Linked DNA regions of Rhinolophus ferrumequinum. The main gene of each other region encodes a partner of the protein of the gene in region 3 in a complex. Links are inferred from orthologs where the notes say so. Each region holds a gene or a part of one and is shown on either strand. Other genes may lie near its edges. The genes, in order: RILPL2, RAB3IL1, RAB8A and RAB3IP.

What was found.
Region 1: the proteins of RAB8A (region 3) and RILPL2 are in contact, whole or in part, in a crystal structure (PDB 6SQ2), measured with the Homo sapiens proteins. The link is inferred for Rhinolophus ferrumequinum from reciprocal best matches to the Homo sapiens genes RAB8A and RILPL2. Residues at the interface, in NP_005361.2 of Homo sapiens: Ile41, Gly42, Ile43, Asp44, Phe45, Lys46, Ile47, Lys58, Trp62, Phe70, Ile73, Tyr77; in NP_659495.1 of Homo sapiens: Leu135, Leu138, Arg139, Leu142, Gln143, Arg145, Asn146, Lys149, Ser150, Leu153, Glu157.
Region 2: the proteins of RAB8A (region 3) and RAB3IL1 are in contact, whole or in part, in a crystal structure (PDB 4LI0), measured with the Homo sapiens proteins. The link is inferred for Rhinolophus ferrumequinum from reciprocal best matches to the Homo sapiens genes RAB8A and RAB3IL1. Residues at the interface, in NP_005361.2 of Homo sapiens: Lys10, Phe33, Ser35, Phe37, Ile43, Asp44, Phe45, Lys46, Ile47, Gln60, Trp62, Thr72, Ile73, Thr75, Ala76, Tyr77, Arg79; in NP_037533.2 of Homo sapiens: Arg104, Glu108, Leu111, Glu112, Thr115, Ala116, Phe119, Glu120, Ala122, His123, Arg127.
Region 4: the proteins of RAB8A (region 3) and RAB3IP are in contact, whole or in part, in a crystal structure (PDB 4LHX), measured with the Homo sapiens proteins. The link is inferred for Rhinolophus ferrumequinum from reciprocal best matches to the Homo sapiens genes RAB8A and RAB3IP. Residues at the interface, in NP_005361.2 of Homo sapiens: Lys10, Phe33, Ser35, Thr36, Phe37, Ile43, Asp44, Phe45, Lys46, Ile47, Trp62, Ile73, Ala76, Tyr77, Arg79, Gly80; in NP_783322.1 of Homo sapiens: Ser199, Arg202, Asp203, Gly206, Leu209, Glu210, Thr213, Ala214, Phe217, Glu218, Ala220, His221, Val224, Asn228.

What each region holds. Positions count from the first base shown.
Region 1 is NC_046308.1:4,394,843-4,402,667, forward strand, and holds the start of RILPL2 (RILP-like protein 2), read left to right. Parts: upstream 1-4,824; 5' UTR 4,825-4,967; intron 4,968-5,941; 5' UTR 5,942-7,145; coding exon 7,146-7,478; intron 7,479-7,825. UniProt on the Homo sapiens protein: Involved in cell shape and neuronal morphogenesis, positively regulating the establishment and maintenance of dendritic spines. Plays a role in cellular protein transport, including protein transport away from primary cilia.
Region 2 is NC_046294.1:9,034,429-9,041,412, reverse strand, and holds the start of RAB3IL1 (guanine nucleotide exchange factor for Rab-3A), read right to left. Parts: upstream 3,002-6,984; 5' UTR 2,919-3,001; coding exon 2,785-2,918; intron 260-2,784; exon of another isoform or gene 105-259; coding exon of another isoform or gene 94-104; intron 1-93. UniProt on the Homo sapiens protein: Guanine nucleotide exchange factor (GEF) which may activate RAB3A, a GTPase that regulates synaptic vesicle exocytosis. Promotes the exchange of GDP to GTP, converting inactive GDP-bound Rab proteins into their active GTP-bound form.
Region 3 is NC_046301.1:49,742,409-49,749,557, reverse strand, and holds the start of RAB8A (ras-related protein Rab-8A), read right to left. Parts: upstream 3,008-7,149; 5' UTR 2,971-3,007; coding exon 2,760-2,970; intron 1-2,759. Other genes in the region: TPM4 (tropomyosin alpha-4 chain), read right to left, coding at 7,125-7,149. UniProt on the Homo sapiens protein: The small GTPases Rab are key regulators of intracellular membrane trafficking, from the formation of transport vesicles to their fusion with membranes.
Region 4 is NC_046293.1:65,679,270-65,686,957, forward strand, and holds the start of RAB3IP (rab-3A-interacting protein), read left to right. Parts: upstream 1-4,687; 5' UTR 4,688-4,887; intron 4,888-4,971; exon of another isoform or gene 4,972-5,093; intron 5,094-5,259; exon of another isoform or gene 5,260-5,458; intron 5,459-6,565; 5' UTR 6,566-6,639; intron 6,640-7,688. UniProt on the Homo sapiens protein: Guanine nucleotide exchange factor (GEF) which may activate RAB8A and RAB8B. Promotes the exchange of GDP to GTP, converting inactive GDP-bound Rab proteins into their active GTP-bound form.

The DNA.
Region 1 (7,825 bases), on a different chromosome or scaffold from region 3:
ATCTGAAAGGGATCACCATGACTGCCACATCTATGTAATTAAAAACTATTACATACAAAATTAAGTATATACAAAATACTTTCTGAACCAAGCAGAATATGTGGAGGGCAACATGGACTATTCTACTAGAGATTTCTATAGAAGTTTCACACTAATACCATCTTAAAGCCAACACTTAGCATTGGGCACTGAGCTAATAAACTCATTTCATTCTCTCCTCAGAGCTTGGAGGAGTGTATTGTTATATTCCAAGGTGGGGCCTGGGCTGTCCCAGGTAGGGTGGAGGGCCTTAATTCCTTCCCCACCATAATCTCCTTCAATGCTCCCTCTAGCTCACCACCCTGAATCAATTTTTCACCTAAATTTAAAAAAAAAAAAAGACAGAAAAAGTGTACTCTTACACAAACCCGGCCTCAAAACAAGTGCCCTGGGCACCACCCTTCCTGCAAGGAGATTCTTTGATAACGACCTTTAACTCCAAGAGAGGAAGTCACTGGTCCAGGATTGCAGGCATTTAAGCCAATCTGGGAAAATCTCCAAAATCCTTGCTGTGTCCAAACAGGATTTAAGGGTAAGAAGACTAGGAAATCATTGAGAGAACAGGAAGAAAGTCATAGTGAGTGTTCCACTCAGGAAATAAAGGGTGCCACCGGTACTCAGAAGAGCATCAGATCTACTGTGCTTGATGTACCAAAATAGGGCCACCAGACATTTACTGATTTAACTTTCCTATTGGTGGACTAATTTAGCCCCCAAACATTTAAGGTTCCATTTTTATTAAGTGTGACCCACCCACTTTAGTTTCCCAGTTCTCTATTTCCTTTGTTTCACCCTGAGTTACTTCATACTCCTTTTGCAGTCACTTTGGTTTCTACTTAAAGGCAGGGGGAAAAAATATGCAGCTGCATGCCTGTCTTAAATCTCATGGGAAGAGTGTTTTTGAAATTATTTTTAAAACGTCATATAATGACGTTTTAAAAAGTTTTGTGGTAGTCATATTCTATGTGTGTTACTGATCCAACTTTCCATGTCTTGTTCCCATATAATTATATGAACTTAGGAAATGTCTTGTATTTCGTATTTTGGTGATAAAAGTAGTTTATAATAATATCCAACATCTACTGAGCACTTACCCTCAAATAACACCCTGAAAATAACACCTGTTTCCCTGAAAATAACACCTAACTGGAACATAAGCCCTAGCATGATTTTTAATAAGACATCCCCTGAAAATAAGCCTTAATGAGTCTTTTGGAGCAAAACTTACTATAAGACCCAGTCTTATTTTCAGGGAAACACGGTAGGGCTTATTTTCAGGTGATGTCTTACTAAAAATCATACTAGGGCTTATTTTCCGGTTAGGTCTTACTTTCGGGGAAACACAGTATGTGCCAGACACTGTTGTAAAGAACTTTACAACAATTGTAGGAAGTCAAGTCTATCCTTATCCCCATTTTACAGCTGGGAAAACTGAGCCCAGAGTAGAGGCATAATTTACTTGCCTACCATAACACAGTTTGCAAGTGGCTGAGCCAATCAAGATTTGAGCACTTTGTGGTCTGATCTAGAAGCCATCCTTTTAAACACTATGCTGTCACTCATTGTTTTTCAAACTTTTGTGTGCATCAGAATTACCTAGAGGGCTTGTTAAAACAGATTGCTGGGGCCCACCCCCAAAGCTTCTGATTCAGTGGGGTCGAGAATTTGCATTTCTAAAAAGTTTCCAGATGATGCCTAAGCTACTGGTCTGAAGAGCACAGTTTAAGTACTTCTGCTGTGACTCATAATTGTTTTCATAATTTCCCAATGGAGAAAGAAGGGTCATGATTACCTGCCAGCAGATTGTGTACTTGTACAAGGGATCTAAGAGTTAACGATCTAAGATCATTAACACTTCATAATAATAGCCAACACTCCCTGATTTTTATGATGTGCTAAATGCGGGACTAGGCACTTTTCATGCATTATCTCATCTAATCCCCACATCAGTCTTGGGGAATACATTTATTTTTCCCAGTTTACACTGAGGAAATGGGGATTTGAAGAGATTGGGGAGATTGGTCCAATTTATGCAGCTGTGAGATTCAAGTCAAGACTACTTGAACTCGACAGCCCTGTTTACTACACTACAGACTCCGCACATAGTAAATGCTCAGTAAGTAAACTATTAAATAAATGAACAAAAGAATCTTTTTTTTTTATATCAAAAGCGTAGCTACTCAATGGAAGACGTTTTGACATTCTAAAGGCATGATGTGCTAGTTTTCACTATGTAGCACAGGAGTATAAAGCAGGAAGGAGTATAAAGCAGGAAGGAAGCTTTACAGGGTAAATTATTGGGGAAATTTCAAGGCAGAAGGAATTTTTGACAAACAGTGGTGCAGAAGAGATTCATGCCAGCAGTGGTGGCTAGGGATGCTGAAGGAAAAAAAAAAGAAACTCAGAGACATTAAATTCTTTGTGACAGCATTGCTCTGGGAAGGCTGCTTCCATTTACCAGCACTGAAACATAATTCACATATAAAATTAACCCATGTAAAGTGTACAGTTCGGTGGTTTTTAGTATATTCACAGTTGTGCAACCATCACCACAATCTAATTTTAGAACGTTTTCATCACCTCAGAAGAAACCCTGTCCACCTTAGCAGTCACTCAGCATCCATCCTCCCCCAGCTCTAGACAACAGATAATCTACTTTCTGTCTCTACAGAATAGATTTGCTGTTCTGCACATTTTACATAAATGGAACCATACAATACGGGCCCTTTTGTGCCTGGCTTTTTGCACTTAGCAGAATGTTTTCAATGCTCATCCACGTTGTAGCATGTGTCAGTGCTTCATTCCTTAGCCCATCCCCAGCACTTCATCGAGGTATAATTTACCTAAAGGAAATGCACAAATATTAAGTGCACAGCTCCACAACTTTTTACCTATGCACATACTCATGTGACCTCCACCAAGATCAAGATATAGCACATTTGTATCCCTCCAGGGAACCTCCTTATGCACTTTTTAAAAATTTTTGGTAAAGTACAGTACACATAAGATAAAAACTACTATCTTCACCATTTCTAAGTGTACTGTTCAGTAATGTTAAGTATACACACATTATTGTGCAACCAATCTCCAGAACTTTTGCATCTTGCAAAACTGAAACTCTGTAATTTATTAAACAATTGCCCAGGCCCCCAACCCCTGGCAACCACCATTCTACTTTTCTGTTTCTATGAGTTTGGATTCTAGATACCTCATGTAAGTGAAATCATATATTATTTATCTTTTTGTGACTGCCTTATTTCATGTAGCGTAATGTTCTCAAGGTTCATCCATGGTGTAGCCTGTGTCAGAATTTCCTTTTTAAGGCTGAATTAATATTACATTATGTGTGTCATACCACATTTTGTTTACCCATTCATGCGTGGATGGACATTTGGGTAACTTCCACCTTGTGGCTAGTGGGAATAGCGCTGCTATGAGCACGAGTGTGCAGATATCTCTTTGAGACATTCTTTTGGATACATACTCAGAAGTGGAATTGCTGGATCATATGGTAATTCTATTTTTAATTTTTTGAGGAACGTCCATACTGTTTTCCATAGTGGCTACAGCATTTTACATTTCCACCAGCAGTGCACGAGGGTTCCAGTTATTCCACATCCTTGCCAACACTTATTTTCATTTTGTGTTTTTAATTGTGACCATCCTAATGGGTGTGAGGCGATATCTCATTGTGGTTTTAATTTGCATTTCCCTAATGATTAGAGATACTGAAAAGCATCATTTCCTGTGCTTATTGGCCACTTGTATATCTTTTTTGGAGAAATGTCTATTTAAGTCCTTTGCCATTATTTTCTATTTTTTCATAACAGCTTTATTGAAATATAATTCACGTACCATGTAATTCACCCATTTAAAGTGAACAATTCAAAGATTTGTCTATTCACAGAATTATCACCTTAATCAATTTTAGAACATTTTCTTCACCCCCAAAGGAAACTCCATACTCTTTGGCTATTATACCCCAGCCTTATTTTTTTGTTCTGTCTTTCAGCCTAAGGCAACCCTAATCTACTTTCTATCTCTATGGAGTTGCCTATCTCTATGGATTTTCTGGACATTTCATAGAAATAGAGTCATACAGTATGAGGTTTTCTGTGACTGCTTCTTTGACTTAGCATAACTTCTCAGTGAGAGTTGTGACAACATGTGTGAAATCCTGTCAATGAGGGAAGCTCATTAGAGACTCTGTGCAAAAGGTATTTATTGGGGACTGGCCATGCAGGCCCCCTGTGCCTACCACATACAAAAATTCCAGACTCCCAAGAGGAAAGTCAGCATTCACCATAAACCGTGGTGTTTGTGCAAACAGTTAAGGCACAGTGAGCTACTCTTATCAGTTGGGGTCATGGTAACCCTCCCCAAATCAAGTTCCCAGAACCTAGCCAGGGGCCAACCTTGCAAGCAGCATTTTCAAACGCTAGCATTCTCAGGCCTGCTGTGTTAACTCTTTTCTGCACAGATTTTTATAGGGACTGTGCTGATTCTGTCGATTAATGGAGATGTAAGATGGAGGATACTGCCATCTTAACAACACTAAGTATTACAACTGATGAACATGGGGTGTCTTTGCACTGATATAGGTCTTTCATTCCTCTCAGTGATGTTTTATAGTTTCCCGGGTACAAGTCTTGTACTGCTTTTGTTCAATTTATTTGAGTATTTTATTCCTTTTGATGACATTCTAAGTGGAATTGTTTTTCTTAATTTCATTTTCAGATTATTCCTTGCAAATGTATACTACAATTGGTTTTTGTGTATTGATCTTGTGTCCTGCAACCTCAAGCTTGTTTATTAGCTCTAATGATTTGTTTTGTGGATTCTTTAGCCTGTTACTATGATGGATTATTACATAGACTGATTTTTTTGAACCAGACTTGCATCCCTGGAATAAAATCCAGTTGGTCAAGGTATGTAATACTTTAATGTGCTAAATTCTGTTTATTAACTTCTTGCTAAGGATTTTGCATCATCTATTTTTACTTTGCCCCCACCCCCTCCCTTTTTTTTAAGGAGGGCACAGCTCATAGTGGCCCATGCGGTGATCGAACCGGCAACCTTGGTGTTATTAGCACCATGCTCTAACCAACTGAGCTAACTGGCCACCCAACTCTGCCCATTTTTTTAATCAGGCTATTTTTATTCTTTTGTTGTTGTTGTTATTGCATTGTAGGAGTTCTTTATATATTCTGGATATTAACCCCTTATTTGAAAATATTTTCTCTCACTCTGTAGGTTGCCTTTTCACTCTGTTCATTATGGTTTTTGATGTACAAGTTTTAAATTTTGATGTAATTTATCTATTTTGTCTTTTATCTATTTTTTTTTTCTTTTGTTGCCTGTGCTTTTGAAGAGATCATTGTCAAATCCAATGACACAAAGCTTCTCCCCTATGTTTCTTCTAAGATTTTTAAGAGTTCTAAGGTTTAGGTCTTTGATCCATTTTGAATTAATTTTTGTATATGGTATAAGGATCCAACTTCATACTTTTGCATGTGGGTATCCAATTTTCCAACACCATTTGTTGAAAAGACTGTCCATTCCCCAAGGAATGATCTTGACACACCTGTTGAAAATCATTTGACCGTATATGTGAGGTTTTATTTCTGGGCTCTCTATTCTATTCCTTCATGCTTTTCCCGCTGAATGATATTCCATTGTATGATATACCATATTTTATTTATGGTAAGCCTAATATTTCACTCAGTCTTTAATCACTGGTGTTGTAATGTCTGTAATTTATGGATTACCGACCCTTTGCCCTGGAGCCTCCCTTTAATCATGAGAACATTGTACCCTCTGAAAATAGTATGTTTTGTTTGTTTGCTTTGCTTTTTGTTTGTTTGTTTATTTTATCTTTGTCCACTGTCCATTGTGATTTTAGAACTTCAGTGTGGAGAAAATCAGGTCCATCTACCACAGAGAGAGCTGGCAATCTATTCCTGGGAAAGACAAGCTCCATTGCTGAGTTTTCGGCGGATGACTATTTCGAACCTCTAATCAAACCTGAAGTGATTGGTTTCGTAATCCGCACTGTTAATATTCTCAGTCATACCCTGTGTATCTGTAGGGGACTTTCTAATTTTCAAAATAGACTGAATTTTTTGTCGTTTATTACTCCTCCCACTCCAACCCCTGTGTGGAAGTGTCTTACAGGCAAGCTTAATGTTTGTTGGAGGAAAGAAAGAAGAATACCAGCTAACATTTTTTTAGTGCTTCCTAAGTGCTTTTTGTCACACGCATTATCTCATGATCTCCTCTAATATATTCTTCGCAGCAACCCTCCCACGTCAGTACTGCTATTTACAGGGGGGGAAACTGAGGCTCAGAGGAATTAAGTAACTTGGCCAAGGCCAGAACGTTGTTAAGCTTAGGAGCCCAGGAATGAGCAAAATGCAGAGCACAGGTTGTCTCCATTTTATGGACGGTCAGATGCGTCAGGGTTGACGACAAATTGGCCTGGGAACTCCGCGCATCTTCCTCCACGGAGCTCCCTCCACGTACATTGCACAGTCTAAGGCTGGAAAGCTTGCGTGTAGGAAGGAAAAAGTTGTGTGCTTTTTTACCCTCTTTCCCGGACTCGCGTGGGAAATTCCGCCCTCGTCTCCATGGAAACCGGCGTCGGTCGCGGCTGCCGTTAAGGGCGGGGCTCGCGGCCGCAGCTCCTCCCCCGGTTTGCAAAAGTTCCCAGGCGGGGAGCAGTCACTGTCACCCCGTCACCTCTCCTTTCCTCTTTTCGGCTGCCTTCCCTTTCCGTTGTTCTTTCGTGCCCCAAACCACATCCTGGAGGCCGCTCTTCTGCACCGTCCTCAGTGGAGCCTGCGCACCCGGCGTCCCGGCGGGGGAGCAGCGCGAACCCGGCGTCCCGGCGGGGGAGCAGCGCCTCGCGGCCTCCCTCTCCGCCGCCCCCCCCCGCCCCCCCCCCGGGCCCATCCCTCCGCTGCGCTGATTGGCCGCTCCCGGGCCATCCCCCAGCCGTGGGCAGGCAGGGTCCTCTGCCCAGCGGAAAGTTTTCCGAGTCGGGAGGAAGTTGGACCTTTGGAGACTCCCAGACGGCGGCTCCCGAGGCTGCAGGGGGCTGGGCGGCCATGGAAGAGCCCCCTTTGCGAGAAGAGGAAGGGGAGGAAGAAGAAGAGGAGGGTGACGAGGCTGGGCCCGAGGGGGCTCTGAGGAAGAGCCCCTTCCAGCTGACCGTGGAGGACGTGTATGACATCTCCTACGTGGTGGGCCGCGAGCTGATGGCCCTGGGCAGCGACCCGCGGGTGACACAGCTGCAGTTCAAAATTGTCCGCGTCCTGGAGATGCTGGAGACGCTGGTGAATGAGGGCAACCTCGCGGTGGAGGAGCTGAGAATGGAGCGGGACAACCTCAGGAAGGAGGTGGAGAGGCTGCGGAGAGAGGGCTCCGCGGCCACCCGCGAGGTGAGTGCGGGACGAGGGGGCTCGGCCCCAGCAGCCTGAGATGCGTGGGGGAGCGCCCACTGGCAGGGAGGCCCCTTTCCTCTCTCCAACATAGAGCCCCTCGAAACAAATCACTGCAAGAATTCAGTTCTCAGAGTGAAAGCATTACGACAGTTAACATTTATTGAGCATTTACTAGGTGCTGGGACACGTGCTGAGTATGTGGTAAATCAGTGGCTTCCAGCGTGTTTGACCATAACCTAGAGCCATGGTTCTCAAGCTTTACCACGCATCACAATCACTTGGAATGTTCGTTAATACACAGATTTCCTGGCCTCAGCCCCAGAGTTTCCAGTTCAGTAGGTCTG
Region 2 (6,984 bases), on a different chromosome or scaffold from region 3:
CCTCCAAGTGGGAAGCGCAGGCCACGCAGCGATCCTCGACCCTCCCAGCCGCAGCCCGACCCCGCGCAGAACCGCGAGCGCGCGCGGACCTACCCACTCCACATCCCGGCGCCTCGGGGCGTCCAGGCGTCCGTCCCCGCCGCCGCCGCGATCTCCCTTGTGCCGCGTCCCCGCCGCCGCCGCCGACTCCGCCCCGGGCCGGCTGGCCTGCCCCGCCGGCTGTCAGCCCTGCCCGCCGCCTGTCTGTCGGTGCGGCCCCGGCTCGCGCCCGGGCCCCCAGCCCAGCCCCGACCCTGCCCTCAGGGGGTCACGTGGCCGAGAGGGTGGCCCGAGGACACGTGCCTAACCCCGCCCCTCCGCCGGCCAGCGCAGAGCTCGCGCGCTCCCGCCCAACCCCACGGCCGTGGGCCTCGGGACTGTGCCACCGGCGGAGTGCGGGGAGGAGCCGTATCCACATCATGCGGCTGCTAACGCAGCGTTCAGACGCTCCCCGCTGCTCCCTCTCCAGTCACCGCCCCGGCACAGGCACCGTGCGGCACCCACCCTGGGCCACCCTGCTCAAGAACCTGCAAAGGCTCCTGGGCTTTCAGCGCCCTCATTCTTAACTCAGAGCCAGCAGACAGCCTCCCACCCCCTCACCTGGCCCTCTGGCCACCCCTCCTTCCCTGGGCTCCCTGCCTGTCCCTGTGCAACATCCTGCCTGTTTGGCAGACCCCCCAAACAAGTGTTCTCCGTCTTTACTCTGAGTGCTTATCCCGGGCAGGACCCACGTTTGGCCCAAGTCTCCAACCCCAGCCTCTCCTGCCATGCCAGCCCTGCCCCTCCTTGCCTTTGCCCAGGGTCTTCTGTCGAGGAATACACCCCGCCTCCATACACACACACACCTGTCTGGTCCGTCATCCTTTGCAAAACTTTTCCCTGAATCCCAGACCATTGGCCTTTGTGTCCCTCAGTCTCTGTGTCCCTGTCACCTATCCTGAGCGCTTTGCCCTGACCATCTGCCTCAACTTCAGCCTGGGGCTGGATCCAGTGAGAGCATAACCCCCTTTCTCTCCTGGAGGGACAAGGGCTCCCACTCTCTGTGTCTAGAGGAGGACTGGGAGAGTTAGGAAAGTACTTTTCTTCCAGATGCTACCAGAACTCTGGGCGCTACTCTTCCAGCCTCACAGAGCCAGGGCTCCAGGCTTGAGTGTGTCAGGTTTCCATCTGGGGACACATTTTTCATTCATTCATTCATTCATTCATTCAACCCCTTCTGAGTATGAACTATGGGCCATACAGGGCTGGGGACCCAAAGGGAAACTGCCAGACACAGTCTCTGTCCTCCTGGGGCTCCAGTGTGGTGGGGGAGATGGAAGGAGGGGGACATACTCTCAAGGACTTGCAGCACCACCACTTGTCCAAGGCACACTACCTTGCTAAGTGAATGGTATCTTTGTTCAAAAGTGACAGTGGTACTCCTTTCCTAGGTGGGCACACCAAGGTGCAGGACTTGGTGAGCGGAGAGTAGGCTGGATTTCATGCCTTGTTCGCTCATTCCTTTGGCTGGTGCCTTGCACAGTCAACAACCTGGGCATCCCTTCCATCGTTGCAGAATCATCCTGCCCAGGCCCCACATATCCTTCACTCTGCAGGGCAATTGTTTCAACAACTGTGGCTTCCGAAGGACGGGGACCTGCTCCTTCTTGGCACTTGTTTCTGCACCTACCCCAGCCCAGGGTCTGGCCGAAAGCAGATGTCATCATGTTTACTGACTTGAATCCTTCACCAAATAAGACTTGAGCAACTGCTGTCTTCCTGGCCCTTAGCTCTGCTCACTACTTAGGGGAAGGGCGAGAAGATGACACAAAGGGAGCTCAGGTCGGGCCCCTTACCCTCCAAATCTTCACGAGCCCAGACAGGAGATAAGACCTGGTCCAAGTCTGACAACCCCAACTAGGGAGAGATAAAGGGTGAAGGGTGTGTCCACCCAGGGCTATGGCTTTAGAGGAAGAATCCTCAGCGTGGAAGGGCTGGTGGGCTGTGGAGGCCCTTGAGCGAGGCCTCAAACGACAAGTGTGGGGTCACCACTCTGAGATCATTGACACACCAATTACTAGCCAAAAATATCCTGTCTATGCATCCAGTTACCTTGGACTTCCAGGGCTCACTAGCTTCTCCTATAGTCCAGGAAGTTCTGCTCCTCAGCTGAAAAGGATGGGCTCAGAGAAGTTAAGGAAACTGCCTGATGTCACACAGCCATGGGGTGGTGGGACTGAGACCCCTCATACCAATGTTCTGAGAAGACAGCCCAGAAGCCAGAGGACTCACTGGAAGCTGCAGCTGTAGGCAGTCAGGCAATAAGAGGCGCCTACTGGGTGCTTGGCCCACAGGTTGGGAGGGAGAAATAAAAGGTGTGTCCTCTGCCCCCAAGCTCCTTCCTTCCCCAAATCTGACCCCCGCAATTCCCCTGACTACCCCCATCACAGACCCTTGGCTGGAGGCAGATGAGGAGCTGAACTGCCAGCCAGGATGACCCAGGCCCTGATTGTGTCTTCAGTTCACTGTGTGATGCACGGTGAGTGTCATGCCCTCTCTGAGCTTCAGATTCTGTATCTGTATAACCAAATTGGACAAGACAATCGTGGCCACCCCCTGGCACTCACCTTGTAGGAGGCTCATGAAATTCCTCATTGTCCTAGGCCAGTCCCCGGTTGGGACCCTGGCTTCTCACACCCTCCCCCAACTTTCCTGTAGAGTGGCCAAATGCATCCCTCCCCTCCATGTCCCAGGTCACTAGCTCACCTGTCTGTGTCCCAAGGCTCCTCTCTCAAGTTCCCCTCAAGTGCAGCATAGCGAACAGTCCCTGAGCTCATTGCCAGGTACACGGGACATTTCCCTCGGGCAGGGCACCCGGTACACTCCTCAGAAGAGTCCATGCCTGGAGGGCTGGACCGAGGGTCCCTCTGGAGAATGCCAGGCAGGCAGGTGGCAGAAGCCTTCTCCCTACCCGCAGGCTCACGCTAACCTTTGCTATCTCTGAGAAGCAGCTGCGTGTGAGGGAGGAGCCTCCCAGACAAGCTTCTATCGCCTTAAACCGTAATTATTAACTCCTGTGGCTGAGCTGACAGCAGAAAACCCTGGGGCCGTCCTTCCTGGGCTCTGGGCCAGGGAAGGTGAGTCCTCAAAGGGAAATGGGAGCCTTCGTCTCCATGCCCAAGGCCCCAGGGCTTCAACTAGGCCCACAGATACAGCTGCCTGTCCCCTCCTTGCCCAGGATGGCAAGTTGGAAATAACCTGTCCAGCTCTGGCTCTATCATGAGCTGGCCATGTGGCTTTGGACAAGGTTCCCTGCCTCCCCTACCCTGGTCCCTGGCCTCAATATCCTCTTCAAAACTTTAACTTTAACCAACAACAAAAAGGCACCACTCAATAAAGCAGTTAAAAACACAGGCCTGGAGTCAGGCTGGATTCTACCCCACTTCCAGACGTGAACCTCTGGGCATGTTAGCTTCTCTTACCTCAGCTTCCCCAGCTGTAAAATGGACTCTCACCCTGTAAGGCACACCAGGCCAGCTGCCCTGATACACCCCACAACCCTCCTTTTCCGCACATTAACCCCTCTTCCTTCAGCCTCCACCCCATCGCACCCCTGCTGATACATTTCTCTTTTGCTCATACCCCCTCCTCCAGGAAGCCATCTGTGAATTGCTTTCTTCTTCTCTAGGCATTGGGCTCCCACCCTCAGACACGTGGTCTGCCTTGTGTCATGGCAAGTGCCCCATGGCACTGTTGGACACCCCCACTGAGTGACCCGTGGGCATAGACTGACACACACTAATCATCAAATCCTCAGTGCCCCCTGCTTGGCACATGGTTAGCCTCAATCCACCCCAGAGGACTTGAATGTTCCACCCTGTCTCATCTGGCCAGAATTCTCATCCTAGTTCTGCTATTCCCTGGCTGTGTGACCTTGGACAAGTCCCTTAACCTCTCTGGGACTCAGTTCCCTCATCTATAAAATGGGAACAATCCTCCCCTGAGATGTTGTGAACATCTAAGGAGGGAACATTCATGAAGTGCCTGCCACAGTGGAGACGAAAACAAGCGTTTCCTATTCCCTTCTCCCTCGCCTTCCTTCTTCTTTCCTGTCAGCCTCCTAGCTCCCGCTGGGGAGAAGCTGCCAGTTCCTGACTAAGTCACACCCCGCCCACCCACCCGCCTGCGGATAACAATATCTCCCACTCAGGCTTTGGGCTTCAGAGCTCTCTCTCAGCCTAATGCAAACCAGATGCTGGCCTCCCTTTCCTGGCAATGAAGTTTCCATGGCTTGCTCCCACCCCCTTCCTGTTTTTGCTCCTCACTGATCCCCCTGCGAAATTCTTCCGTGTCCCCACCTTCCTCTGCAGGGCAACCTCTGGGCCCACCTGGAAACAATTAATGGAAAACAGGATGTATGAAGGGGGGGGGTCTCCCCATCACCCTAACATGGCAAGAGGGGAAGAGGCTCAGCCTTGTTGGTAACAAAGTATATGACAGATAGTCCCTTCCTGCCAAGCCTCAGCCATCCCTTCGGGGGGAAACTGAGTCAGAGTTGCTCTGGGAACTGTATAGAAAATTTTGCTACTTTCTGGACCCTTGGGCACAGCTGGGACTGTATGGAGAGCTGTAAGGGTCTTGTCCTAGTCTGTGACCTCTTAGAAAAATCAGAGCCAGAAGAGGCCCAACCCTCTGCTGTTGCAGGTGAAAGAAACTGAGGCTTGGAGACTTGCCCTGGGTCACTGGTGAGTTGCAGGCTAGAGGCAGCCAGCTCCGAGACCGCAAGCCAGTAAAAGCTGCTGCCGGAAGTCACCTCTGGGGATGCTATCTCAGCATCATTCTCTCCTGCCCTTCCCCCGCCGCTTAGCCCAGTCACGAGGGAAGGCTCACAAGGTCTCCAGCCGCCCGCTGTCTAGCCACCTTCTAGCCGGCAGGCAGGCGGAGAGGTGGTGGTGCACACTTGGCCTGGCAGACATGGATTTTCCTCACCAGGGGCTGGGCACTCGGGAGGGAGACCTTGGGCAAGCCTAGGAGTGCCTGTGTTGGGGGCTCTTCTTTTATCTCTGGGCCCTGTGAACCCCATAGGGCAGCCAGGGCTGGCCCTCCCAGTGAAGACTCCGCCATTTCCATGAAAACAACAGCCCAAGGGCTTTCAAAAGCCCCAGCTCTGGCCGCCCCTCCCTCCGCCAGCTGTGCAGGGTGTTTGGACAACTGGATGGAATGTTTTGCAGGGAGAGTTCTCCCTGGATCCCTGAGCTCAGATTTCAAGAGGGGGGGAGGAGAGGATGCTGGCTCCAGGGAGAGGGGAAGAAGATCAAGAAGTCAAATGTGGGCCTGGAGGTCCCCTTCTCAGGACTGACCAAGACATTGCCCACTCAGTCCCAGCATGGTGGGGAGCTGGAGTCAGGCTCAGGCTCCTGGAGCAAGGACAGGGCAGAGGGTGGAGGCAGCCGAATGCTGTCAGATATTTGGTGGGGCCAACCTGGTGAAGTCAGGCCCCAGGGACATTCTGGGCTCCAGGAGGGGCTGGACCAGGACAGCACTTCGGGAATGTTAAGCTTCCACGACAGAGATCATTCTACCTACCACCGCCCCCATTTTACAGGTAGGGCAGTTGGGGTCCAGAGAGGGCAGGACTTCGGCCCAGGCAGGTGTACAGCTGGGCTGGAATCCAGAGTTCCTGATCCTAGCTTGCTCGTCTCATGGTCCGTGCTGTCCCCGCCCTCACCCCCAGCCCCAGAGACATACATACCCTTGCTCTTTCCCAAATGATGACACAGGTGAGATAACCTACTCAAGGTTCACAAAGAAAATACAGACACTGAGCTTCCTGCCAGCATGTGGATAAGCGGTGGAGACCCTGGGAGCCAGGATTCATGCGCCATCTCCTGCTCTGGGGCCAGAGCCCCCCCGATTCCCCACCACAACTGCCCAGGGCTCTGAGAGCCTCTGAGTAAGACTGAGAAGTTCAAGTCCTAGATCCAACTGTATGAAAGATAGTGCGAGGCTCAGTTTACCCACCCTAAAATAGGATTATCCTTGTTCTGCTTGACTTACCATACTATGAGTACTGATCGTGAGGGCCAGTGTACCCCTTTGGAGACGTAAACATTTCCCAGTGAAAAAACCACTGGTGCTCACATGAAGAAAGGAGAGAGGAGATTCCTTTGGGTCCAAACGGGTGTGGGAATCCCACCACGGTGACTAAGGGCCTGGGCTGGCTTCTCCCAGGTGGAACCTGTTTGCCCACTTCCATCTCCCAAGTAGGAAAGCTCAGCCACATAATGGAGTTTGAGAACCAGTCAAAACTTCAGAGGCGGATGTGACTAGAGGGACAGTGTGGGGGTACCTTACTCTGTCCCTCTAGTCACATCCGTCCCTGAAGTTTTGACTGGTTCTCGAATTCCATTCCAAAATGGCAGAATGTGGAGTGGGCTAGGACCCTGCTAGGAGATGTACATTTGATATCAGACTTAATTCACTCTCACAGTGACCCACTGTGGTCCTTCATTGCCTTCTGTTTCCATGTTAAAGACGAGGGAACTGAGACTGGGAAAGGTTAAATGATTTGGCAACAGTGAACAAATGATGAAATTTGGATTTTAATCCAGGTTTTTCTGACTCCAAAAGCTCATGTTCTTATCCCTCTACCATTTACTCTCTCAGGAGGAAGAGTAAGGTGAGGCTTTTTTTGAGAAAGGAGGGCTTGAAGAAATAGCAGGATTTAAATATATTAGAAATCGAGGATGGGTATTCCATTCAGAGGGACCATCAGCAACAAAGGCTTGGAGGTGGGACAGAGCAGGGCACACACAGAAAGAAATGAACCCTTCACTTTGGCTAGAGCTCTAAGCTAATTTGGAAGACAGTAAAGAAAAGACTACATGGGCAGGCTTCAGATGAATCATGAAAAGCCTTGGAGGCAAGTTAAAGAGTTTGGACTTTATTCTAAAGGCTCCAAGGAGA
Region 3 (7,149 bases):
GAATATAAGCCTGCACTTGAATTGTGCCCACTAGGCCATAAGCTACATGAGAACAGGGACTCAAAAAGTTTTATGGCCACATATCCAGTGACTAAGCGTGGCAGGGGCTGAATACCTATTTTCTGGAAGCCAACTGCCTCATCCTGCACACACACCTTGACTACAGGCCTTGTTACAGTTCTGCTTCTCCCTGATTCATCCGAGTCATCTCTGCAGCCCCCGTACCAAGGCACACAGCGGACATCACAGAAAGATGGTTGAATGAAAGAATTAAGAGAAACGGGACCTACGTGGCGCTGCATGGTTTAAAAAGCACTTTTACCAACATCATCCGTCTCCCTGAAGGAATGAATGAATGAGGTCCTGAGGAGGTAGTGAGGGCCAAGCCAGGCTGGGGAGAACCAACTCCTGGAGCCACAGGGCCAAGTTCACACCACACACAATCAATGGAGCTTACAAAAACAGACTTTGGCAAACATAACCTGGGCAGAAAATGAAGAGCCACTTAATCCCTGATCTATAAAGAAAACCCAGAGGTATACTGAGTGCCAACAGAGACTCCCCTTTATGCATTAGGTTGTCTTTCAAAACTAAGTGGCCCAGGTCATCTCTTCCTAGAACACCTCCCATCTCATCACAGATGCAAGGCACCTATGAAATCAAGAAGCACCATTCAGTTGGCAGAGCCCCACGTCACTCGGCCCTATCCTCCTCCCGGGTTTTATTAACACACCAAATTTAATTAGGACGTGTAAACTTTATGAGACCTAAGAGTTATGAGGCCGTAACTTCAAGGTCAGGGTGAATTAAACTTTCCTAGAAGACAGAGGCCTGCAGGAAAGTTTCATGAAACCAATACAGAGTGGGTGGGAGGGATCCTGGGTTCAAGTGCCACCTCCACCTACCTAGGTGACCTTGCCCAAGTCATGGCCTCCTCTGTAAGTGGAGGCCAGCCTCCTCAGAGCCCTAGCATGCCAGCCTGGACTTTCTGGTCAAGAATCAGAAACCAAACAAAAACCCACCCTTGCACTGACCGCAGTAGTGCTTGTGCTGAACAGGAAGATCCTGACACTGGGAAAGTGAGATCTCTGTTGAGTGACCCACAGCCTGCCAGGTGTTAAGTGATTGGTGGGGGTTCAAGGGTTATCCCAAGGTTCAAGCTTGGAGCGGGGGAGGGGAAGAATCAGAAACACCTGTGCCCCAGGGAGGGACGCTATCACTACAGGAGTCACTCTGCTTCCTCTGGACGGACCCTGGCAGACAACCTTCTATTCATTGTACAGTTCTGATCCTCCACCACCTAGGGCTCTGCACAGAGCACTACTCCTAAACTAAAGAAACAAGGCTCAGAAAGGTGAAGTGATTGTTCAAGGGTGAACAGCAGCTGGAAATCAAGCAGAACAATTTTCTTTACTTTGCACCTGGCACCTGATTGTTTTGCAAAATGCAGCTCCTGAAGGAGGGCAATCAGCATTTCATCGTGGGGTTCAGGAGATGAGTTCATTGGGTTCAGGTTACACTGGGGTAAGGCAGAGCCTGTTCCCTAGAGTTTCTCCATTCAGAATCAACTCCTGGGCTTGGCAACCGTTTCCAGCTTCTCCACTGCGGAGCAAGGCTGTATAGATCAGTATTACTCTCCCAGGTCAAACCTTTTCACGTGGGCAATAGCTGTTTGTGTGGCATGAGGAGAAGTCAGATCCATTTTTGTGGCCGTCAGAACTGAAAAGCAACAAGCCAATTCTGTTCAACCACAATGTGGGCTGGCTTTGTGGGAAAGGCTGTTCTGCAAAGTGACAACCGGTGTCCTGGGCCTCATGATAGGGAAGTCTGGGCTGTCAGTGGCAGTGGCTGATTTCGGTTTCTCACTGAAGCTTTTTATCAGGCATCTCCTTGGGGATGACAGGTCCCAGGGAAGGCAGCTGTCACCTGCCAATGCTGTGACCCTTGAGTGGGATGGGAGGCAGAGCAGGGAAAGGCTCTGGACTCCCTCTCACCACTCCTTCTAGAGGAAATTCACCTATGGGGGACATAGGGTCAGGGATTAGAGACTTAACCCCTGATTATTCCTGAAGAAAGAACAGGACAGGTCTAGGTTAGAGTCCTGGCTCCAAGGTGGATCAGCTGTGCTTGTCCTGTGCTCCCACTCTCTGGGATGGCTGAGCCTTGAGTTTTGGGGTCAGGCACATATGGATTCAAATCCCATCGCTGTCACCTGAAGACTGTATGACCTTAGATAAGTCCCACGCCTCCCTGACCTTCAAATTCACCATCTGTGAGATGGGCTCACAACAGACCTAATATAGAGAACTGGAGAGTGTGATAATGCACATACAGTGCCTGGCACACAGTACATTCTCAATAAAGTCAGATGTCAGGGGTCTTTACCCACGGCCAACTCCCCATGCCTCAGTTTCACTTCTGCAAGACGGGGACCCCAAAAGAACTACTTTAAGGGCTGCTGTAAGGACAGAACAAAATGACAGACGCCAAGACCCCAGCCCAGGACATACACTCACTTAACAGGGGGCTGAGGATCGGGGCCTCAGTCTCCTCATCTGCAAAATGGGCACTTGGTTTCCCCCACATGGCCCGGGAACGCCCGAACGCTAGCGGAGGCGGCTGCTCTTCTCCCCAAGGACCCCCTCGACCCCCTCAGACCCCTGGGTCCGTCCGGCTCGGCCCCTCCCTCAGCCCCTGCCCCTCAGGGGCGCGCCCAGCCCGGGCCTCCGGAGACCCCGGCCGCTCCCCAGCCCCGCTACCTATGGTGGAGATGAAAGTGGAGTTGAAAGCGTCCTCGGAGAAGCGGAACAGGACACAGGTCTTCCCCACCCCCGAGTCCCCGATCAGCAGCAGCTTGAACAGGTAATCGTAGGTCTTCGCCATATTACACTCTCTCCCCGACGGGAAGTGCAGCCAGCGCCTCGCCACTGGCCGCTGGCCCCGTCCATCAGCGCCCAGCCCACCTCCCATTGGCTCCCGGCCCGCCGCGCGTCACCGCGGCCGACGCCCGCCACAGTGCTCCGCCCATCGCGGGGAGATCTGGGGAAGGGGCGAGCGGGGCCCGGAGCCGGAAGAGGCCCGAGAGCGCCGCTCATTGGCCGACGCTCGGGACAGGGCGGGCTACGATTGGCCAGCGGTGAGGAGTCGAGGGGCTTCAAATGAAGACCAGGATAGGGGGCGTGGCATCCCGGGTCCCCGCCTTCTTTCACCGACTCTGGGAGGCCCCGTCCCGCCCCCGAGGGGCGGGGAAGCGCGGGGAGCGGCACCAACGGTTCCGCGCGCCCGCAGCCTGGGGGCGGGGCCTGGGGCTCGTGCGCACGCGCGCCGGGGAGACCGTTAGGCGCCAGCAGAGGGCGCACGCTCGTGGGGTTGGTCTCTGGCTCCCGCCCTCTCGGCCCGCACAGGCTCAGTAGGCGCTAGGGCGAGAGGGGGAAAGTGCGATGGTTTTGGCGGTGTTTTCTGGGGCCTCCACGTCAGGCCTGGATAAGCCGAAGAGGAAAGGATTGAAGAGAGATCGTCACAGTCGAAGCGAGGGCCCCCGAGACGTGCTCCGGGATCCCAGCTCTGGCCAGGGGACCTATTCAGAGATCCCCAGGCCTTCGCCACCTGAGCGCGCTAGGACAACTCACGACATGCCCTCGGCCCTAATTAGAGGTTGTCCAGACCGCTTTTTGCCTTCAGTTCTTCCCCTGGAGCCTGCCCACCCCAACCCAGTCAGCCCTCGGAGGTCCAGAACCCGCCGAGGGATTTAGAATGAGAATTACAGGTATATTGAGGAACACTGGTTCTGTGTCCACCAGTGGTGTCAACACTTAATACCAAAATATTTCATCGCCACCCCAACCCCCTGTGGGGTAGGTATTGCTGTTTAACCACGTTTTATGGTGAGAAAACCGAGGCCACAGAGGCTAAGTGACTTTCTCGGACCCCGAAGTGGGAAGTTGGGTTTTGAATTCAGACCGGGAAGCTTCAGAGGCCAAGTTCTTGATCACTAGGGTTTCCTGCTTCTCAGAGATGGGCCAAACCCTCATTGTGGGCCATCAGAGCCGGAGGATCTTCCGAGATGGCCCCAGGGCGCCCCGACCTTGCATTTCAGCTCATTCTATTAATGTTTCCAAAAAGCTTCGTCCAGAGCCATGGACACCTTGTAGGCTTTACCGACCCCCTCCCCCACACCCCCACCCCTGCCCCCCGTATTTGATGCTATTGAACACCTCTGGCAATTCCTTTTCTTGGCACTCCTCCATTTTAATTGCCTGTTTACCAGCTACGTCCACCTCCCTTTCTCTGGCTGCTGCTTCTCAGATTCCCTTGCAGTCTTTGGGGGTGGCGGGGGTTACTGATTGTCCCCTAGATGTCCATGTTCCTCACGGTTCTTCCTATCTGTTCCCACTTTCTGAGTGATCTTACTTCCTGTGGCTTCTAGTGAAACCACACTGGTGATTTTCACTTCTTAGAGAATCCATCGCCCGCCCAGCCATCCCTCAATGTCTAACTTTCTTGATATCTGCCTTTGGATTTGTCAAAGATACTTCAAATTCATCATGTCCACAACTGAGCTCGACTGTCTTCTACTCACACTTAGCTTGTCCCGAATTACCTTCTTACTGAAATAAGTTGTCTTTGAGCCTTTTCTTTCATCCCTCACATCCTGGTTCTGAAGGAGGTTCTAAATAGCTCTTGGATCTTGCTTTTCTATTTCCATCACCCATGAGATCATCACCTCTCTCCATTGGTTTCCCCGATCATTCTCTAATCCAGATTCCACCCTGCAGTGTGCCCATTCTAAAGCACTTACCCAATGTCCATCCATGGTCTACGGGCAGGATAAAGTCCTCACAACCTAGTCCTAACCTCATCTGCTGTTCCACCCACACTTCATGGGCCTGGGAACTCCAAAAGAGCGGAGACAGGGCAGTTGAATAAACACTGAATATTTGTGTTAATTGCCGGGCCACAAGGATGACTAACACAATTTCCTGAGATTAGATTACAGCCCAAGGGGGTGGGTAGGAGGGAGAAAGAACTTCACCTTAGTAATGATGGTAAGGCACTTGTTTGACATTCTCAACTACCATCTAAACGAGCTCAGTGTCAGCTAAGTGTTGAATAGCAGGAAATGTTTTCAGTTGTACTTGGTAACAAAAAATTGTTTGCATACTGCATCAGTGTTTTCAAGGCTTTCATTTCTCTTTTTGATTCCCTACCCGCCTGTCCCAATATCAGATCTTGAGGCAAATACCAAAGCAAGTCAGGTAGTGAAACTGCAGTCACCTTTGACACTTTTAAGTTCTGTACCATTCAGTCAGCTAAATCGTAAGATTACTTCTTGCAGATCACTTCTTCCTTCTGATTTCACGGCCAACGCTTCCCTGGATTAATGGAAACATCTTCCTCACTGGTTTTCCTGCCACTAGTTTCCCTCCATTCTATTAAGAGCCCTTCCTGAAAATGAATGCTAAGTGGGTTTTCCTAATGTCAGGGGCTTTCTACTCCTGACCAAATTAAGGTTCTTATCAATGTGGATTTCTTTCCTTTATATACTCAACACACAGAAGACCGTACCCAGGCAGGCCTATGCTTTCCTGACTCAAGCAACAGGGACCATCTTTCCTGCTCCTATCTCATCTATTAAAACCTTCCTCATTCTTCACAGCCTGGCTCAGCAGGACTGGGGAATAACAAAGGACAGGAGCTTTTGAGTTACTGAGGCAAAGTGTTCTCACCTGTAATAAAGAGATCACAATCCTCACATCATGAAGTTGTGGTATACAGCCAATAAATAAAATTTGCTAAGTTTGTGGCAGTTATCTCCGCATCCCATGCATTCAATGAACCAAAATGCCTTCTATGTCTCGACGCATTCTAAAAGTCACACAAATTATAGTTTATGTAAAAATTTATTTGACCAAAATGTAGAAAAAGTGATACTACGTATTACATATGATACAGCTGCAAGAATCTAAATGAAAAGTGTGGGTTCTATTCAATTGCACAATTTGCTAGTGTATCTCCTGGGTAGTGTGATGTGTAATAAATAGGAGTGAGGGGCAGAGGAGTCGGATAAGCTAGAAGCAGGGTGGTTTTTAGTCAGAATTGTAAACTGGCCCCCCCCACTGCTGGGGAATATGGAATGTTTCAGCTCTGAGATGTTAACCGAGAAAGCGAGAATGTAACAAAGCTAACATGTGCAGCCCTGTCTACAAAATACTCCATATCCAGTTTAATCAGGAGTTTCCTGGTCTTTTATTAACTTGGTCCTGAAGAAGGAATTAAAATCTTAGACACGTAAATCTTCAATGTACCATTCCCTAAAGTACAGAAGAGATGAAGTTAGGCCAGTTACTTTATCTCTGCTGCCAGAGAGGCCTTTTCTGACCAATATTTATTAATAGAAAAATGCTTTTGCTAAATTATTGATGGTGACTAGTCTTTTTGATATAGTCCCATGAACAGTACTAAATTCTACCATATTCATTCCTGCTGAGTGGATGGCTTCTTATCAGAGTATTATGACTATTTCCCCAGCATTCTCATGCTGACTGCTCAGAAGATGTTTGTTCTGCATGGTAGAATGTGGAAAAAAGCCAGGGTGAGTAGGTTAATCTATCTGTGGTTTATGACTTCCCACAACAGCACCGCCCCCTTTTTGCTCTGGAAGGAAAACCCCCACCCATTTTCATGTGATGGTCCCCGGCCTCCTGTAGTGTGTCCACTGGTGGCTCAGAGGTTCTATTCTTCAGCCTTTTAAATTGACCAGTGACTAGATATTGGACTCTGTGTTTTGAAAGTGTGGTATTGTCTAATCTCCTGGGAACCAAATGCCCTCAGTCTTAAGAGACTATGTTCAATAGGAAACACCCTGCCTACCTTAGTGATAAATGCAATTTAAGGATAAAAATAGAGCTGAAAAAGCTGGTGCCATTTGGGAAAAAAAAAAAAAGGAAGGAATTAGATTTAACTGGTGCTCAAAGCTTCTCTGATACAAAATATTTGGTCACGTATTCATAATTTGCTTGACATTTCCAGCAAAGCGCAGATGCAGTAACAAAGGAAACTTCTTACAAGAGAAGAGAAAGACACGGAGGTCTGGAGCTTCTGTTGGAACAACTCTTCTGTTTTGGTTATATACAATTAAGTTCATTTAGT
Region 4 (7,688 bases), on a different chromosome or scaffold from region 3:
TGCTTCAGCTTCAGTCACAACTTGATCCAGGACGTCAAATAACGTGATCAGGACTCACACTGGGTCTTTTTACCTCTCAGATCTGCCTACTCCCTGTCAGTCCCATTCTCAGCCATGTTCTCCATTGCCAGCTACTGTCATTGCCTGCTTGAGTCATTTGCTTATTATGAACTAATCCCAGAGACCAGAGACCAAGATTCTTGAATTGGGTATGCGTGGGTCACATGCTCACCTTGAAGTGGGGGGGGGGGAATTCAGTTCCATTTGAATCATGTGAACCGAACATGGTGAAAGTGTACTTCCCCAAATAAAGTCATTGTGCTGATCCCCAAAAGGATAACGATGCTGAATATGAAAGAGAGGGAGCGAGGGAGGATCTAATTACTTGTTGCGTCAGACAAATTCATCCTCTGAAATGTTTTTCCTTGCCTGTTTTCATTGCAATATAAGCACTCACTATCTCATAGTAGCTTCCTATCTAATTTCTTTACCTCTAGTCATTCCTCACTCAAGTACGTTGTCGGCATTGCCACCACGTTCCTCTTCCTAAAGCACTGTTTTGATCATTTCACTCTCCAGCTCAAAGTCTTACAGGAACGCTCTTCTGACCACCACATGGCATTTATGAAATACAATCTGGCTCCCATGGACATTTATGAGCTACAATCTGGCTCCCATGTATCTTTCTAGGCTTATCTACCTGCAGTTGTTCCATGTGCTAACTAATCTGCATTGCTCACCATCCCTGAACACACTGCATGTTTTCCTTACAACGTCTTTGCTCTATTTGTATGTTCTACCCCATCACTGTTTCTTTGACCCTAAGTCTGATCTCTGATGATGAGCCAGACTGCTAGTTTTCTCCAGTATTTGTCCTCCCATTCTTCTTTAGTATTAGAACCACTGATTTTTAGCTGGGCACATGGCCACTTAAAAGAGACTACATGTTTGAACATCACTTAGTCAAGTTCTGACCAATAGGTGTAAGTGTGGTGATGTATACAACTTCTCCACATGTTCTTAAGTAAAGGCGCGTGCTCTTTTCTTCCCCTATCTCCTTTCTATGTTCTGGAAATAAGGATGTGATAGCTGGAGCTTGAGCAGCCATCATGGACCATAAGGCAGGAGCTGCATGTTCAAGATGGTGAAGATACAAGAGAGAAGACGGCTGTGTCCACGTTGATCAGAGAGCCACCACATCAACCCTGGACTTCCTACATTTGCAGGAGAGGAATAAATTTTATTTTGCTTAAGTTACTGTTATTTTGAGTTTTTAACTGCTATGGAAACCAATCTCTCCATGAAAAGATTATAAATATACAACATTGTATATATACATGTAAATATACAACATTTTCTGAACTTTGAAAATAGAACAGAGGCAAACAAGCAATAAAAATTATAACTAAGGGTAACAACCTTACAATGATTTGTTCAATTTTAAATTTCTAGATATCTGCACTCATCTCCTTTGTTTTCTGGTCCCAGGTATGGATGGGAAAGTCTTAAGATTTAAAAAAATATATAATATTATTTTATATGTTGTATTTTCCATTCAAAATCTAAGCAAAATGGGGGCATTATTTTAAGGATACAAGGATTTCTCACAGAACACATGGGAAATGATGAATGAGGGAAGTCTCAGAAATAGACTGGAACCCGGGACTGAAACACTGTGGGGAGCCAGGAAGCCCTCTCATTAAGTCTCACCTCTCCTTCTCTTTCCTCTTCCTGCAGATTATTTATGTACCTGGCAGAGAGAAGCAATCAATAAATATGTGTTTAATGGATGGCAAATTGTGTGTGTCTGTGAAATAAACGGGATCCAAAGCCCATTCTCAAAACATTTCCTTATACGTATGTAGCTTGTTAAAGTGACTCTTTTGAAGGAAACCATACTTTTTAGAGTCTAAGCTCCTTTCTCTCAGCCCTCAGATCTTTTCAGTCGTTCATTCCAACATTAGAAAAATGGCCTGAAATGCAGAGTTGTATATAAGTGACCTAATGAAAGATACTTTAGAGACAGTTCTGTTTTTGTACAGGAGTCGCGAAGGCAAATTTTTATGGGAATGTGAGCAGTGAGCACTGACACACAAGTAACTATTTTGCTAGACAAGGAAATGATAGATTGCCCTTGGTACTTTTTTCCCAGTAACCACACCCCCTTTTTTTTCCTCTTTATTATTTACTGTCTGAGTTCCTGCTTTTACCTAGTTTTGCCCTTGAGGGTTCTTGTCAGCTGATTGATATGTTTGATAAGATGTTTCATATATTTTATTTAGCACTTTTAGTTGTTTTTGGTGGGAGAATCAACCAGTATCTAGTCTGCCATACTGCTGGACATGAAATCCAGTATGCTTTTTTTTTAAAAAAAGAGTTTTAACTTCATTTGTTTGTAATATATTACCCTGCATTCTGCAGACCAGAGCCCTGACTCTGGTGATCCAAGTTCTCCATCTGTAACAATGAAGAATAACTACCTTTATACCTATGTCAAATTATTTTTTTGTAAAGGACTCATGACATACTTTATGTGAAGTCTGGAAAGTACCATGTAAATATAATTACTGGAAAGTACCATGTAAATATACAACATTTTCTGAATTTTGAAAATAAAACAGAGGCAAACAAGCAATAAAAATTATAACTAAGGGTAACAACCTTACAATGATTTGTTCAATTTTAAATTTCTAGATATCTGCACTCGTCTCCTTTGTTTTCTGGTCCCAGGTATGGATGGGAAAGTCTTAAGATTTAAAAAAATATATAATATTATTTTATATGTTGTATTTGACATTAGTTGTATACTGTCATTTATTTTTCAACGAAAGAGAAAGGAGGCAAACTTGAGCACACTACAAAATCACACTACAAAATATAGTGTGATTTTCAGCACACTAAAAATCATGTTTTTAAAGTGGTGAAGTATCTATCTCTTTAACTTATGGTTGGGCAATCTAACTTAGGATGCTCACAACACATTATATATTTTGCAGGCTGAGATTCTGAGTATCTAACACTCTGTAATGTACTTTGGTTTCTGTGCTGCAAGGACACTAAAGTATTATTGTAGGTAACTACCCATATCACTCTCTGCATTCTCAAACTATGATGGCAGATTAAGTATGTGAGAGAAAACACCTGTAAGTACTCATAGATTCCAAATAGCCTCATGGATAGTGGGTGATTTGTAAATAAACCAACATCGGATTTAGACCTATGGCTATCGCTTACTATTTCCTACAGATGAACGATGTCTAAGGTCCTATGTAGAATATATTATAGGACTGGTCCTGTAAACACTTCTATACCAAGAGAGTACATCTCCATGTATGTCATTCACCCATTCTGCATTTATTGAGCCAGCCCTACTACATGTCAGGCCTTGTGCCTGTTCTCAAGAAGCTCACAGTAATTGACATACGTGTATTTGTCTCCCTCACTATGTTTGAGTCTGTGGTCGAGATTATGTGTAATGGTTTCTATGTCCCTTTGTCCAGCAGTAGGCACATAGATGGAGCACAATAAATGTCTGATGAATGAATGGCATTCATTCATGACATGACATGAACGACATGGTATAAGGAAGAGTAGTTAGGAGTCTATTAATGAGGAAGGTCATATTTAGCAGCAGTGAATATGAGGTAGGATAGATTTAAGAATTATTTGGGAATTTGAATGGATAGGACTTGATATATGGGAAATGTGGTATAAATGAGTAAATAACGACTTTCTAGGTTTCTGTTTGGATTATAGGTGGATGATAAGAGTAATAATGTTATTAATAATACAGCTAATATTCGTCAGGCACTCTGTGTCATGCGGTACACTAAGTGTTTACATTATTTAACCATTTAATCTCTCAACGACTCAGTGAGGTAAGTACTCTTACCATCTTCCTTTACTGTTCAGAAAATTGGGGCTATTTAAAGATTAACTTGCCCAAGGTCACACAGCTAGTAGGTGGCAAATTCAAACCCAGGAATTCTGATTCCTATAGCCATACACATAACCTACTCTCTTATTCACTGCCTCGAATAGATGTACTCAATATACAGAATGATGATCCTATTCCATGTGTGTATTACATAAGTTGCACGTATCCATTTTAGTTAGACAGAGACACACGCGGTGATTGCTCTTTTTGATCAGATTTTAGGGGCTTGGTTGTGTACTTTCACTTTTCCTACCTGGAGTTCCTAAAGAAGTGTGGAAGTTTGATAGAGTTGACACAAAAGATGAGAGAAGGCAGGTACAGAAACGACATTCTCGAATGCTCTAGCAGCAGCTGGGATGACGGGATCTGGGTTCTATCGGACTCTCCACTCCCCACCCCCAACACCCCCGACACACACCCACACGCGCACGTTATAAGGTCTATATGGACACCAAGTTTCTCAGGTTGGTTCTAGCAGTTGTTAACTAACATCGAAGGTTCTTTTTCCGTCTCCGGCCGAGCCTAGCACACTCGAAGTTAACCCAAGACCTCCTATGGGGCCCAGGGAAACAAGGCTGTGCGCCGACTCGGGCTCGTTCCCCGGGAAACCGCCCTCAGCAACACCTGAGGCCCAAACCCCGGTACCTGGGAAAAGCACCTCTAGGCGCCAGGGGGCGCGGGAGCGCGCAGGCCCCTCGGGCCCCACGAGGCACCGCCCCAGCCCCGCCCCCAGCCGGCCTCCCCACGGCGGGGCCGGGCCGCTTCAGGCCCCGCTCACGGCGCAGGCGCAGTCCCACGCTCCCTCGGCGGCTCCCGGCGCAGTGCGCCCGCCGCGGCGAAGTGTAGCGGCGTCGGCCGGCGGTCGTCCGCCTCTCGCTGCTTGGGGGCGCGCTCTGTGGGGTTCTGTGAGCGCCCCTGAGCGCGGGCAGCGGCCGTCGTGGGTTCGTCAGGTGAGTGCGGCCGCGGGACGGAGAGGCCCGCGGCGCGGAGCACCGCCCCCCCTTGGCGCCCGCCTCACGCGAGCCGGCCTGGGGGGCGGCCGTGGCAGGTGCAGCTGCGGGCGCGGCGGAGGGTGCGGTGCACGGAGATCCGACCCGGATGCCTGGCCCGGCCAGCGCGCGCCCTCGCCTCGGCACGCGCGGGCTCCGGGACCCCAGTAAGCGGCGGCGGAGGCGCGGGGCTCTGGGCATCTGGGCACCCCCAGGGACCGCCGGTGGACGTCGGGCGGCGGCGGCTCCTCCCCCGCTCCCCGGGCACGGGCGCGTTACTCATTAACTGCGCGGTCCCGAGCACCCACGGCTGGGAGCCCGGAGCTGGGTTACCTGTAGGCGGGGCGCGCGCGGCTGAGGGCACGGGGTCGCGGAGGGGAGTCGAAAGAGAGTTCCCGAGTAAGTCTGGAGCTCGGTTCAGCGCAGGAGCCGGATCGTGGTGAAGCTGTAGGCGTGGACCAGGGGTCTCAGTGAAAGACGTGTGAGGCACCATCTCGAGGCGCAGAGGTCACTCTCGGGAGGTTTCGGTGAAACCTGGTGGGCAAGAACAAGCGCCCTGGAGTCGTGCCGTAGGAGGCAGCCCAGTTCAGCCTGACTTTTGTTTCGGGGAGTTGAGACGAGCTGCACAGACAGACATTATTGTGATTACATTGCTCTTCCAGCGATGACATCTCGCTCCGACCGCCGGGGGAAAAGCGAGCTTAATGGATTCTGGAAGTGATGGTGTTTGGTGGGACCTACAGCGCGAGAAGAGTAGCCAGTGGTTAAGGGATTAAAAAAAACAATCTGTAAATGGCTAAAGGGTAAATTGAGAGCGCTGAGTTAATACCGATTCCTAAGAGGCAAACAATTTAGTTTCGAGGAAATACAACATATTCCAAAGGCTACCTGTTTCACACTCTTGTGTTTCTCTCTCCAGCTCCTTCATTTTAGTGTAGGGAAAGATCCGTGTAATCTTTTGCCATGGAATGATTACATAATTGGAGCAGAGGCCGATAAGAGGATTAAAGCAAAACTGTTCCATTGTAAATCTATTGAAAGACCCAGTTTCTGTTCATTATCCTCACCCTCATTTTTTGTTCATGCAGTTAAAAAAACAAAACGTGAATGACAAATCAAGGAGAAGAGGCAGAATACATTTGTAGACCTATCATAGTGAATATCTGATGCTGTTAAATATTCCACCAGTTTTATGGGGCCTTGTTCTGTTAACATTTGTTATTTATTTACTAGTACTGTGCATTTTGATAGGACTTTTCATTTTTGGGTGGACGTTGTATCCCAAATATGGATTAAGTGATCTAATCCTGAAGCCCTTGTGGAATGTATAGAAAAAACTTAGCAGTTATGTACAATTTTACTACAATGGTGTATTTCTTGCTGTTAGAAGAAAAGCCTTTTAATTTTTTTCTTTTTCCACTACCTTAGTGCATACCTTTTTGAATCAGAGTGGATACATTTGTTTTTTTTTAGGTTACTTAATCTATTTCTCCTTCTAATTTTTTTTTTTTTTTTAAAGGAGGACGCAACCCATGCGCGGCTCAAACTGGCAACCTTGGGTTATTAGCGCCAACTGAGCTAACCGGCCACCCCCAAAAGTGGATACATTTAATACAGCTCTTTTTTATGTGTTTGGCAGTCAACCCACTCCGTGGTATTGAATACCTCTAACCTCTCATCTGGATGGATATTTGATGTTCAGCTGCTTGTGGGGTTTGTAATCAGCCAGGTTTCTAATTAGATACAATTGTACTTTTTGAATTAGTGTCCTTATGTATCTTCTTCCTTTAATATTTTTCCTCTATTTTTCCCTAAACCCTCAACCACCCCAACACACATACAGACACTCCACAAATAACTTTTAAAGTTGAAAGATTCTTAGAAATCTAGCTCCCCATCATTTTTTTTTAATATGGCAGAACAAAAGCTTGTAGGTTACAGTAGTTTTACATACATTATTGTGGTTATAGTATTCACCTCCTTTCCTCTCATCCTGAGCAGGACTCATTGAATCAATTAGCTGGCCAAATGAAAAATTATTAAATCTTAAAACAATTCTTTTTGTAAGTTTTAGCTCCCTTTACTTACTGTGCATGTGACCTTGAGTAAATCACTTCACCTCCCTGAGTTTATTTTCTCCATTTGTGAATTGATACAGTATTAGATGGAACCATATGAATTTGCTAGTCGTCACCTGTTTTTCATATGGTTCAACCTAATATTAAGTTTTTAATGGATGAAATTTAGGGAGATACTCCACATGGGATGTGAGGAGGTGGGGCAAGGGAGACATATAAACTTGACAGTGGGCCAGGCCCAGTGCTCTTGCTTTAGGTCCCTGTCTCCTTTAGTCCTGGGGACATTCCTGGGATATAGGTGGGATTGCGTTTTACAGTTTAGGAAGTTGAGGCTCAGAGAGGTGAAATAACTTGCCTATGGTTACTTATTTGCCAATGGTGATATAGCTGATTAATGGCAGAGCCAGGTTTAAAAACTGAGTGTGACTGCCCAAAATGGAACTCTTAATGTGCTTGCTTCTTCCATTCCTGGTCTACACACCTTCTGAAAGGTGTTCTTATCATTTGTATTTCTGGCTTAAAAAATATTCCAGTTTTCTGATGATGGTGATATACTGGCACCATTGGGTAGAGTTTCCCATGTATCAGGTTCTGGTCTAAGCACTATAGAAATTTCCTCTCACAGTGACCTAGGAGTTAGGTAATCCCTAATTCCATCCCTTTTTATAGTTGAGAGAGGTAGCG